Linked DNA regions of Callithrix jacchus. The protein of the gene in region 2 interacts with the protein of the main gene of each other region in a pairwise test. Links are inferred from orthologs where the notes say so. Each region holds a gene or a part of one and is shown on either strand. Other genes may lie near its edges. The genes, in order: TIMP1 and CD63.

Region 1 (6,155 bases), on a different chromosome or scaffold from region 2:
GCCCCTAGGGTTGGGGGGCAGCCACAGGGACACGGAATAGTCAGAGGGAGCAAGAAACAAGCCCATGGTTTAGAGAAGGGCCCCAGGAAGGATCTCCCGTTGGAGGTTGGGGTCCAGGCACTCACTGTACATTCCTCACAGCCAACAGAGTAGGTCTTGGTGAAGCCCCGGCGCTGAGCTAAGCTCAGACTGTTCCAGGGAACCACAAAACTGCAGGTGGTGATGTGCAAGAGTCCGTCCTGCAGTTTTCCTAGGAGGAAAAGGGGGGAAACCGACAAGCAGCTTGTGATTGGGTGAGCCACCGGGCGGGCAAAGGCCCAGCCTACTGATAGGCTGAAATTGGGGTGGTCCCCATTTCCAGTGGGGCCATTCCCATCAGAGCCTCGCCCCCTCCCGGTTGCTAGGCCGCGCCCCCAGGGACTGGTTGGCGTGGCACAGGGCGCGGGAACGGTGCCTCACCAGCGATGAGAAACTCCTCGCTGCGGTTGTGGGACCTGTGGAAGTATCCGCAGACACTCTCCATGGCGGGGGTGTAGACGAACCGGATGTCAGCGGTATCCCCTAAGGCCTGGAACCCTTTATACATCTGTTGATGGATGAGGGGAAGTGTCTCTTTTACTGACATAATCCTCCCATTCCACGTTCTTCCCTGAAGTCATATAGCATCCCGAGATCACAGCCAACTTTCTCGCACCAACCAGTGGCCAGAAGCTTCTGTTTTGACCAGGAGGAAGAGGTTAGAAAATGCTGGGAAAGGGGCAGGGGGAGTACCTTGGTCATCTTGATCTCATAACGCTGGTATAAGGTGGTCTGGTTGACTTCTGGTGCCCCCACGAACTTGGCCTTGATGACTGCAGGAGAGGAGGGAAATATGAGTCAAATGGACTGCATGAGCCAAAAAAATAAGATCATCATCTCATAATACCAGCAAAGTGTGTACATAAAGAGGGTTTATTGGATGCCAGACAGCACGCTAAGTGATTTACACACATTTGTTCATTGTTTCGTCTGTATGTTGAATGTCTCTCTTTGCCAGGCACTGCTTAAGCCATTTTCATATATTCATTTGTTCATTTACTCCACAAATATTTCGGAGTGCCCACTGTGTCCCAGACATTGTTCTGGGTGTTAGGGACACAGCAGTGAACAAAACACAGAGATCCCTTCCTTTGTGGAGTTCACATTCTAGCCAGGAGGAGACAGGCTAAGAACAAACAAAAGAAGTATATGGGAATGTTAGAAGATAGTAACGATAATGGGGAATTACACACCTGGGTAAGGGGATGACAAAGATTCTTTGCTTGACCAAACTTTACTCAGGCTCCTGAACCTTCTCCTAGGCCCATCTGTGCACTTCCTTGTAAAATTTAATTTTAGCAAACAGCCCTGGGATTAGTTTAGCAAGAACCCCTGTCCTCCATATCTGATCCTCCTCAGTCTCTGGTCATCCTTCTATCTGATCATCCTCAACGTCTGATCATCCTTGCTACCTGATCAGGTTCTTCATCTTCCACCATCCCCCAGGTGATGTGTGATTCTTCTGGCCTGCCTTCAGCAAGAATCCTGTTAGGTCGGTTTTGCCAGAATCCATTACCCCTGATGTTTCCTTTCAGTGATTTCCACCCACAGACCCTCACACTGGTCCTTGGCTGTACATTCCCACTGGCCCATGCTATATTCAGTGTTGAGCCCAATCTCTCCCCTCTGACTGCAAGATCCCATGGCAGTGGTTCCTATATCCATCACCATAGTCCTGAATATGGTCTTCCTTACTGTGTGCTATAATGAGTATCACTGAATATTTTTCTCTTTAACAGGAGATCAGGAGTACTAAGGGGCAGGGGTTAAAATTTTAAACAGGATGGCCAGGGAAGGCTATCCTGAGAAGGTGACGTTTGAGGCAGCCACCCATGTGGATACCTGGGGGGAAAGTGTACCAGGCAGAGGGAGCAGCCAGCAAGAAGGTCCTGTGGTAGGCTTGGGCCCGGAGTACACAAGGAAGTGTGAGGATGCCAGTGTGGCTAAAGCAGAGGAAGTGCAGGGGCAAGTGGAATCGATCCAGAGGTAAGTGACATTGTGAGCCCCACCAGACTGAGAGGGGAAACCAAGGCAGAGTGTGTGGGCTGAGTGGGATGAGAACTCACCAAGGTCAGAATTGCAGAAGGCCGTCTGTGGGTGGGGTTGGACACAGGTGCAGGCCCTGCTGGGGGCTATCAGCCACAGCAACAACAGGATGCCGGAAGCCAGGGGTGCAAAGGGGGCCATAGTTGGTTCTGCGGGAAAGGGGGATGTCAGGCAGGCCCCAGGCCAGCTGATCTGCAGACCTGGGCAGGTCATCCACCCCATCCCGCTCTGGGGCAACCTATGGAGGGGATTAGGGGACTGGATTTGGTCTTGAAGTGTTGGGGAATTTGGGGATTTTCAGGGGATTGGGGAGCCCAGAGGAATTTAGGATTTAGAGAGTTGGGAGAATTTAAGTTATTGAGGGACTGAGTGAGTTGCGGGATTATGGAGTTGTGGCACTTGGGGGAGGAGGGGGCTCAGGAATTTTGAGGAATGAGGGGATTGGGGAAGTCTGGAGGTTGAGGAGTTTGGGAGTGAGGAATTTGGGATTGGGGGGATGAATGAGTTTCGAGGAGGTGGAGAGCTTAGGGGTTGTGTATATTAAGAGATATGGGGGCTGGGGGATTTAGGGAGGTTAAGAATTTGGAGGAGGTTAGGGGTTTAGGGAGCTGGGGGAGTTTGGAGGTTGAAGGGGCTGGGGGAATTTGGGGGCTTAAAGCAATGGGGATACTTGAGGAATTTGAGGGCAAAAGAAGTTTGGGGCTGGGCGCAGTGGCTCACGCCTGTAATCCCAGCACTTTGGGAGGCCGAGGTGGGCAAATCATGAGGTTAGGAGATCGAGACCATCCTGGCTAACACGGTGAAATCCGGTCTCTACTAAAAATACAAAAAATCAGCCGGGCATGGTGGCAGGCGCCCGTAGTCCCAGCTACTCAGGAGACTGAGGCAGGAGAATCGCTTGAACCCAGGAGGTGGAGGAGGTTGCAGTGAGCCGAGATTCCGCCGCTGCACTCCAGCCTGAGTGACAGAGTGAGACTCCGTGTTTAAAAAAAAAAAATGGTTGGGAGTTTGGGAGCTGGGGGAGTTTAGGGAGCTGCAGGGATTTGCGATGGGGATTTAGGGGGCGATGAAGTTACGGGATGAAGGAGTTTGCGGCGGAGGTGGGAGATTTGGAAAGCATTTGTGATATTCAGGGGGGGGTCACGGGAGTTGGGGATGAATGTCAGGTGTTCTAGGGAGTTCGGAGCCTCGGGGCTGGGAAAGCGGTTTCAGCCTCGGACCCTCTTCCCCCTTGACTAGCCCAGGGTCCTGGTACCGGCAGGCCAAGCTGAGCAGACAGGCATTTGGCACTGGAGTGCACAGGCCTGGTGGCCAGCACCCAAGCTGCAAGCCAGCCCCAGTCCCTGCTGGGCCACCCTGGGGCCTTGCTTACCTCTGGTGTCTCTCTGGGTGCTGGATCTGCGGCGATGGCGGCAGGGCCTGAGCGCTAGAGGATAAATGTCCACGCTAGGGGCGGGGGTGGCAGCGGGTGCGGAAACCACAGGCCTCCAGGCTTCCTGGATGCATTACTCATCCACCCACCATCAGTGCAGAAGCCAAGGGGCGGGCCGGAGAAAGGAGATACACCCTCCTCCTCTCCCACCCTCCTCCTCTCCCTCCCCCTGGGCCTTGCCCAGGCCAGCCCCCTCCCCCATCTCCACGTCAGTCACTATTCCTTCCAAGCCGCCCCAGTGGAGAGCTTAGAGACAGCATTCACCCCAGCCTAGTCCCCTAGAGTCTCCAGAATCTATCCAATCACCCACATCCCCCAAGCTCCCTGTGGCTCAAACCCAAATTAGTTCAGTCCTTCAACATTTATTGTGCATCTACTGTGTGCCAAGCACACAAAAATCCCTTGTTTGGTATGTCTGACATGCTGGTGAGGGGTGGCAGAGAGGAAACAAGTTAAGTAGCAGGAATGGAGGGAGATAAAGCAGGTGAATGGGGAGGAATACAAAGTGGGGAAACTAAGGCACGGAGCAGTTAAGTGACTTATCCAGGATCAAAGAGTCAATACATGGCAGAACTGAGACTGGAACTCAGGTGGCCTAGAGCCAAAGCCAGGGTCTCAAAAAACACTGACAAATAGCTGGCATTTATATATCACCGACTGTATACTAAGCACTCAGTATAGTTTATCTCACTCAAAGATCACAACAAATCTCTGAGGTGGGTACCAGTTACTATTCCCATTTTACAGATGAGGAAATATGGGACGTAGAGGGACTGAAGACCTTTCCCAAGATCACAGGGTGTGGCCGGGATTCAAACTGAGGCTACCTGGTGCCAGGATTGTAACTCAGGAGTGGCACCATCCTAGCAGGCAGGGAATGGTGCGAGTGAATGAATAAGCATTGGGAAGGGGGTGGCTGTGAATGATGGTGGAAGAAGCAAGTGAGTGAGTCAGTAGAAAACCAATCCCCACCCCATGCTGCCCTGTGCCTTCCCCACGGACCTATGCCCTAGGTTGGGGTTAGGGTGGGGCAATCCTTGCCCACCAGCTTTTTGACAATGCAGAAATCTTCCCTGGGGTTCTGATGACCATCCTTAATTCGAGGAGGATAGATCCATCATAATAATGGTATTGATGATGGCAACCGCTTATTGAGCACTTTCTGTGTACTATGTGCTGACGTGTTTGTATAAATTATCTCATTCACTCACCATACTCCCTTGCTAATTAAGTTTGATTAACTCAGGTATGTTATCCCAATAACAAGAACACAACCAAAACTACCAGCAGCCCTCACGGAGTGCTTACTGCGTATCCAGCACTGTTCTGGGTGCGGAGGTGGGTGGGATGAGGAATGAGAAATTATCTAATGGGTACGATGTACACTATTTGGGTGATGGTGACACTAAAAGCCCAGACTCCACCACTATGCAATATATCTATGTCACAAAACTGCAGCTGTATCCCCTAAATCTTTTTTTTCTTTTTCTTTTTTTTTCCTTGTTTTCTTTTTTGAGATGGAGTCTCGCTCTTTCTCCCAGGCTGGAGTGCAGTGGTGCAGTCTCAGCTCACTGCAACCTCCGCCTCTGGGGTTCAAGAGATTCTCCTGTCTCAGCCTCCCAAGTAGCTGGCATTACAGGCACATGCCACCACGCCTAATTTTTGTATTTTTAGTAGAGACAGGTTTTATCATATTGGTCAGGCTGGTCTCGAACTCCTGACCTCAGGTGATTCGCCCTCCTTGGCCTCCCAAAGTGCTGGGATTACAGGCGTGAGCCACTGCGCCCAGCCTTCTAAATCTAATAAGAATGCATTTGGCAAGCCACAGTGGCTCATGCCTATAACCCCAGCACTTTGGAAGGCTGAGGCAGGCAGATTGCTTGAGCTCAGGAGCTCGAGACCAGTCTGGGCAACATGGTGAAACCCTGTCTCTATTTTAAAAAGGCCAGGTGTGGTGGCTCATGCCTGTAATCACAGCACTTTGTGAGGCCAGGGTAGGTGGATCACGAGTTCAAGAGATTGAGACCATCCTGGCCAACATGGTGAAACCCCATCTCTACTAAAAATACAAAAATTAGCTGGCCATGGTGGCATGTGCCTGTAATCCCAGCTACTCAGGAGGCTGAGGCAGGAGAATCACTTGAACCCAGGAGGCAGAGGTTGCGGTGAGCCAAGATCATGCCTCTGCACTCCAGCCCAAAGCACTGTTGTAAAGTCTTTTTTTTTTTGAGACGGAGTTTCGCTCTTATTACCCAGGCTGGAGTGCAATGGCGCTATCTCGGCTCACCACAACCTCCGCCTCCTGGGTTCAGGCAATTCTCCTGCCTCAGCCTCCTGAGTAGCTGGGATTACAGGCACGCGCCACCGTGCCCAGCTAATTTTTTTGTATTTTTAGTAGAGACGGAGTTTCACCATGTTGACCAGAATGGTCTCGATCTCTTGACCTCGTGATCCACCCGCCTTGGCCTCCCAAAATGCAGGGATGACAGGCATGAGCCACCGCGCCCGGCCCTTGTAAAGTCTTTTTACAGACATTATCTCATTTAGTCAATCCTGATTGCCTCTTTGTTCATTAATGTTAGTTAAGGAAGAGATGTTA
Region 2 (6,003 bases):
ATAAATTCTCTTGCTAAGGAGGAGACTGGCCACACAGGTGTCAAGGCAACTTATCACCACTTTGAAAGGAGCTGGATCCCTGGAGAACTGGCCAGGGCAGGAGGTGCTAAGCCCTTAGCGGTGCACAAAAGGCCAGGAAGATGTCCAAGGTAGCTGTGGGCTGGGCTCTCCCAGGTGGGACCTTTCTGGGGAGCTGCTTTGAGTCATGCAGCAGATGGCTTCGTGAACGTTCGGAGTGAGCCTGGCGGCACAAGACTAGGGGGCAGGAAGCACCACAGTCTCTGGATTGCCACCTCTCCCACTGCCTGCCCAACCAACACCTTCAGCAAAGTCCTCCTTTCCCAAATGCCCCCACAATACACCTTCCTGAAGTACACAAACAGTAAGGTCCCAGAGGACAGGGAACATGGGTAAGGAAAGGAAGGAATCAAGCATCTCTCTAAGACAAACTCAGACCATCTCTCTTTTCCGTCTGAAAAAATAATCCGTTTAATTGAAAAACCTGGAGGATACTACTCCACTCCCCAAGATGAAGAGGGCGAAGAGTCCAGACCCTACATCACCTCGTAGCCACTTCTGATACTCTTCACGAGGCAACAGGCAAAGACAATTCCCAAGACCTAGAAAGAAAGATGGGGATGGGGGTGGAGAGGAGTCAGAAGGGCAAGCTACCCCAGACCCATGCAAGAGACCCCAAACACACACTCCCAGGCCAGTACCTCCTGCTCAGCACCCTCCCCACTGCCCCTACTCCAGGCACCCTGGACTGAGTCCAGCCCCTCCTCAGGGTTATCTCTCACCTCGACAAAAGCAATTCCAAGGGCTGCTGCAGCCACCACCAGCACGTTTTTCCTCAGCCAGCCCCCAATCTTCTCCACACAGCCCTGAAGGGTGGCAGGCACACAGGACAAAAGCACCATCAGAAACTTACCACCCCATCCCCCTCCCCTGGTCCATCGGTCTCTTCCCTGCCCCTGTACCTTTCACCCCACCCTTATCATTTCCAGATCCCCTCCCCATCCCTGACCCTGTCCACCTCCATCCTAGGTCTCGCTTGCCTCCCAAAACATTTCCCAGGTTTCCCAAGTCCCGTACACAGTCTCCTCCCTACCTCCTTATGGATCTGCTTCTCGGTGAAATTAATCCCACAGCCCACAGTGACATTAACGCAGCAGGAGTCAGGGACTCGGTTCTTCGACATGGAAGGGATTTTCTCCCAATCTGTGTAGTTAGCAGCCCCACAGCACTTAAACTGGGGGAGGGAAGAAATACGGAGAAGGTTAAGTGAACCTCCATCTTCAATATGGAGCTGAGAATTCCTTTTTTATTTTTTAGACAGAGACTTGCTCTGTTGCCCAGGCTGGAGTTCAGTGGCACGATCTTGGCTCATTGCAACCTCTGCCTCCCAGGTTCAAGCGTTTCTCCTGCCTTAGCCTCCTGAGTACCTGGGATTACAAGTGCACGCCACCACACCTGGCTAATTTTTGTATTTTTATTAGAGACAGGTTTCGCCATGTTGGCCAGGCTGGTCTTGAACTCCTGACCTCAGGTGATCCACCCACCTTGACCTCCCAAACTGCTAAGATTACAGGCATGAGCTAACGCGCCCAGCCTTGGAGATGAGAATTCTCTATTCCCACCCCTGCTCCCAATAACCCCACTCACATCTGTCTGCATCCTGTCCAGAATCGAAGCAGTGTGGTTGTTTTTTGGGTAATTCTCCATCTGCTGCCGGAAGTTGTTATTAAACTCTGACATTACCTGAGAGTAGGTAAGGAGCATTGTTGCAGTCAGAATTCAAGCACCTGGGTCCCTGCCAGGCTGAGGCAGGCCCTTCCCGTTATTTCCTGCTTACCTTATCTCTAAACACATAGCCAGCAATGGCTGCGGCCACCTCTACCAGCATGATAAGAGACAGGAAGATGGCAAACTGCAGGAGCAAAGGACAGGAATCAGGTTTGGGGTCTGCATTACAGGGGCCCATTCCGGCCCACTCCGTCCCTGGACACTCACAAACGTCTTCCTCACCCACCTACCCACCTCACCTCACCCACCTTCCTGAGCCCCAACCAAGCTGCCCTGGCAGTCCCAGACCACCCATGCTGGCCCCACTCCCTGCCACTCACCGTGATCATAAGACAGTAGTTCTCCTTGCAGGCCCCACAGCAGCCCACAAAGGCCACCAAGAAGAGGAAGACACCCACTGCAATGATGACCACAGGCAACAGGGAGCCAGGGGTAGCCCCCTGGATTATGGTCTGACTCAGGACAAGCTGTGCCCCGACACCCACAGCAATGAGTCCCACTGCACAGGCCTAAGAGAAAGGCAGGCGAGGATTAGGCTGGACCCACAACACAGTGGCCCTCCATGGTGGAGGACAGGGGTACACCCAGGACACAGACTTGGCCCTAACCAGAGGAGAGATTCTCACACCTCCAGTGAACTTTTTCGGCTGTGGGGATGGGGGATGACCCATCCTTGCCTGGCCCCAGCTCCTCTGACCCCCTCCAGGCTCTTTAATCAGGGACTTGACCAAATTCAAAGGCTTCCCAGAAAGCCTTGACCTCCCCCAAGGCGCATGTTTCTGACCTAGAATAAGGCTTTCTACGGGCCTCAAGGGTTCGCAGCTCAGTTCTCTCCCAGAACTGGCCCCTCGCTATCCTCCAGTGCACACCCTACGCGCCTCAGCTGTAACTAAGGTTCCTCTGGCTAGTTAGGCCAAGAGAAGGGAAGAAGAAAAGGGGGAAAGAGAGATGTGCCCCTCCCTAGACAAACAGTAGCCTCTCAAGACAGGAGCCCAGAGCAGGAGCAAATTGAGGTGGGCAGAGCCCTTCCTCACCCCCAAGCGCTGGGAGGAGGGAAAGGGGGAGAAGGACTGGAGAGGGATGGGGGTGTGGGTGAGGAAGAGAGGGGAGAAGGGAGAGAAGGGAAGCCCCGTGGCGATAGCATCAGGCGGTTGGCTGGTTGCCCCACTCACTGCCCCATATCACAAGTGGTTGGGTCACCAGACAGGAAGGGCCAGGAGGGGTGGGGGTAGGGGTTGCTGCACCCCAGGATGGCCATTCTCTGTGGAAACCAGCCTCAGGTGTCCAGGAAAGCTGGAGGAGGGAGTGGCCGCGCTGTCTTCCCCGGCTTTCCTTCCACATCTGGTCTCCAGCTGCCTTCATTCTTACTCCCTCAGCCCTCACCAGTGTGCTGCCAGGTCTCCCCGCACCCTGCCAGCGCGCTCCCCAGGACCCCTCGCCACTCACGCAAAAGGCCAGCAGGAGGACATAGAGCAAGAACTTCACACATTTCATTCCTCCTTCCACCGCCATGGCTGCCGGGCCTGGGGCAGAGGGGAGGGCGGGGGGATTAACACAGGCCGAGAGGGGACCTCGCCTTCCGCGCTCCCCGCCGGCCCTCGAGGGCTTCCCTGCACGCCCCGATTCCCGGCCCCTCCCACCCGGAAACCCGCGGTTGGATCCACGTCTCCCAGCCCCCTCTCCACCCGCAGGAGAGGGGTGGGGGTGACGGCCGCAAAGCCCGGACCCCGCCCCGCCGCCCGTGGGGCCCAGGACAGATCCAAGGACGCCGGCAGGGGCTTGAGTCAGAAGCCGATCCTCGGCCTGCCAGCCTCCCGGAGTCAGACACCCCCTCCCCGCCCAACCGGTCCGGACAAACGGTCTTCAGCCCAACACCGACCCCCACCCCGACCCCTTTTCCCTGGGATTGGACCTCTCCGCCCACGAAAATAAAGTGCGGCCCGCACCCCTGCCACACCCTGCCCTGGCCTGGGAACTTCGAAGCAAAGTTGCTCGACGGAGGCTGGAGAGCGCCGGGCAGGTCTCCTCGGGCCTGGGGCCAGCCCTGGAGGAGGAGAACGCCGGTGGTCTCCGCCAGCCCGCGCCCAAGTCCGCCGGGACCCCCCGGCCTCACCTGGGTTCCCCAAGGCTGCGCGCTCCTCTCCCGCCGCGGCGCCGGGGCTCTCTAGCTGCGCCCCCCGGCTCCCGCCCCGCCTGCCGCGCAGCCCCGCCCCGGGCTCCAGCCACGGTCCCCTCCCCCGCCGGGTGGCCGCCGACCTCCCTCATGTGACGCGGGAACAGCTGAGGTCTGAGTCACTGGGGCCGGCGCGGGGTGGGCCGAGCCCCCCGCCCAGCCAGGGCCACGTGGCCTCTACCCGGAAGACAGCGCCCACCCCCGAAAAGGGAAAGCCGCAGGGGCAAGACCTCGAGGCGCCGGGGGCCCCCCTCCGGCGCCCCCACCTCCGCGCCAACACCGAGTAGGAGAGCGGGGCGGAGCGCCGCCTGGGTCACTCTGGTTCAGAGAAGCGGAGGAGGCGGGTGAGAGTTACCCTCTCAGGGCCGGGGCGGAGAGCGGAGGACTAGTGACCCGGCGGTCTGAGAGAGGCTTCCCTATCCTTCTCCCACAGCCCAGCTCTCTCCTCTGGCTCCAACTCAGTGCGAGCCCCTCCCCATCCGACTCTGCAGACAGCTGTGGTCTGCCTGGGTCGGATGGGGTCAGAACAAGCACTTCTAGAAAGTCCCTGGCCTCTCATCGTGGGTGTCTCCCAACATGCTAGAGTATTCTAGAGTGGGGGTTTCTGGTCCCCTCCATTAGCACAGCTTCTCCATTTTCCAGGGCTCCTGGTCTGAGCAAAGAGGAGGAAACCCTTCCTCGAAGCCACACTCTCCAGTCAAAGAAGACACGTCCTCGTCGGGTCCCGTCCTCTGGGGGAGGATTGACAAGGTCTGTGCTCCCAACCTCCCGGACAGCTCCTGCATCCGCCTGCTATGGCGTGGGCTTGCGGGAAGACACGAAGGCGGGAGAGGCTTATGTCCTCTGGATTTCCCCGTCTTATCCCAGAAGACAAAGCCAGGTGAGGGCTGGAAGCGGGCTAGGGGGGCGAAGCAGCCTCCCTCCCTTGTGTGCCAGCGGTGGTCCCCAGAAGGAGCTGATCTGAACAGACCAGAGGGTAGGACCGGCCGTCACACTCCAGCCTGGGCCCCACTCCTTGGGCTCTTAGAGTCCTGCCTCAAGAACCACTTCCTGAGTCTTGGTGTATGTATGTATCTAAAGTCTTGGTTTATGTGTGTACACAAAGAAGGAAAGAAACCTCTGGGCTGAACTGAGAAGCAGCTTCCAGGATCATGGCCTTCCCGCCGGACACACCAAGCCAATTCCCGACCTTGTTCTCCCTAGCCATGGAGGGCAGGCTGTGGAGGAGGAGCGAAGAGCTGAAAAAAGGAGGATTCAGGTTCCTCATTGTGCTGCCACTAGATGCCAGGCATGTGCTAGGCACGGGGGCTGCAAGGAGAGGAAGACAGTGGCCCTGCCCTGTGCCAGCAGGCAGAACCAAGTTCTGGCCACACTGAAGAAAGGCAGAAGCCTGCTGCGGCAGCTGGTTAAGCTCAAAGGGACGATAGGAGAATGGATTTCATGGAGCAGGGTGGTGTGCTCAAGGTGACCTTGGAGAATAAAGGGGAGAGCTCCAGGGACAGGGAAGCAGTTAACTGTGAAAAAAAAAAAAAAAAAAAAGAGCTTTTTTTTTTTTTTGAGACGGAGTTTCGCTCTTGTTACCCAGGCTCGAGTGCAATGGTGCGATCTCGGCTATCTCGGCTCACTGCAACCTCCGCCTCCTGGGTTCAGGCAATTCTCCTGCCTCAGCCTCCTGAGTAGCTGGGATTACAGGCAGGCGCCACCATGCCCAGCTCATTTTTTGTATTTTTAGTAGAGTCGGGGTTTCACCATGTTGACCAGGATGGTCTCGATCTCTTGAGCTCATGATCCACCCGCCTCGGCCTCCCAAAGTGCTGGGATTACACGCTTGAGCCACCGCGCCCGGCCAAAAAGGAGCATTTTTTTAAAGTATATGACAGCTTGGGGTTGGCTGGCTCGAAGTGCTTGGGAAGGATGTAGTGAGATGTGTTGAAGGTGGTCTGAAAACCAAGATTGAGAGACTTTCGATACATAACAACCAACTTGGTCCTTCACTGAATAATTGTCTGAACAAACCAGCTGTG

What was found.
Region 1: the proteins of CD63 (region 2) and TIMP1 interact in binary tests that used the Homo sapiens proteins (3 or more experiments, as listed by UniProt). The link is inferred for Callithrix jacchus from reciprocal best matches to the Homo sapiens genes CD63 and TIMP1.

What each region holds. Positions count from the first base shown.
Region 1 is NC_133524.1:48,546,042-48,552,196, reverse strand, and holds the start of TIMP1 (metalloproteinase inhibitor 1), read right to left. Parts: upstream 3,536-6,155; 5' UTR 3,497-3,535; intron 2,274-3,496; 5' UTR 2,266-2,273; coding exon 2,145-2,265; intron 852-2,144; coding exon 772-851; intron 587-771; coding exon 460-586; intron 251-459; coding exon 126-250; intron 1-125. UniProt on the Homo sapiens protein: Metalloproteinase inhibitor that functions by forming one to one complexes with target metalloproteinases, such as collagenases, and irreversibly inactivates them by binding to their catalytic zinc cofactor.
Region 2 is NC_133510.1:63,927,365-63,933,367, reverse strand, and holds CD63 (CD63 antigen), read right to left. Parts: upstream 3,973-6,003; 5' UTR 3,753-3,972; intron 3,330-3,752; 5' UTR 3,319-3,329; coding exon 3,253-3,318; intron 2,316-3,252; coding exon 2,127-2,315; intron 1,931-2,126; coding exon 1,856-1,930; intron 1,762-1,855; coding exon 1,666-1,761; intron 1,253-1,665; coding exon 1,112-1,252; intron 885-1,111; coding exon 801-884; intron 621-800; coding exon 555-620; 3' UTR 465-554; downstream 1-464. UniProt on the Homo sapiens protein: Functions as a cell surface receptor for TIMP1 and plays a role in the activation of cellular signaling cascades. Plays a role in the activation of ITGB1 and integrin signaling, leading to the activation of AKT, FAK/PTK2 and MAP kinases.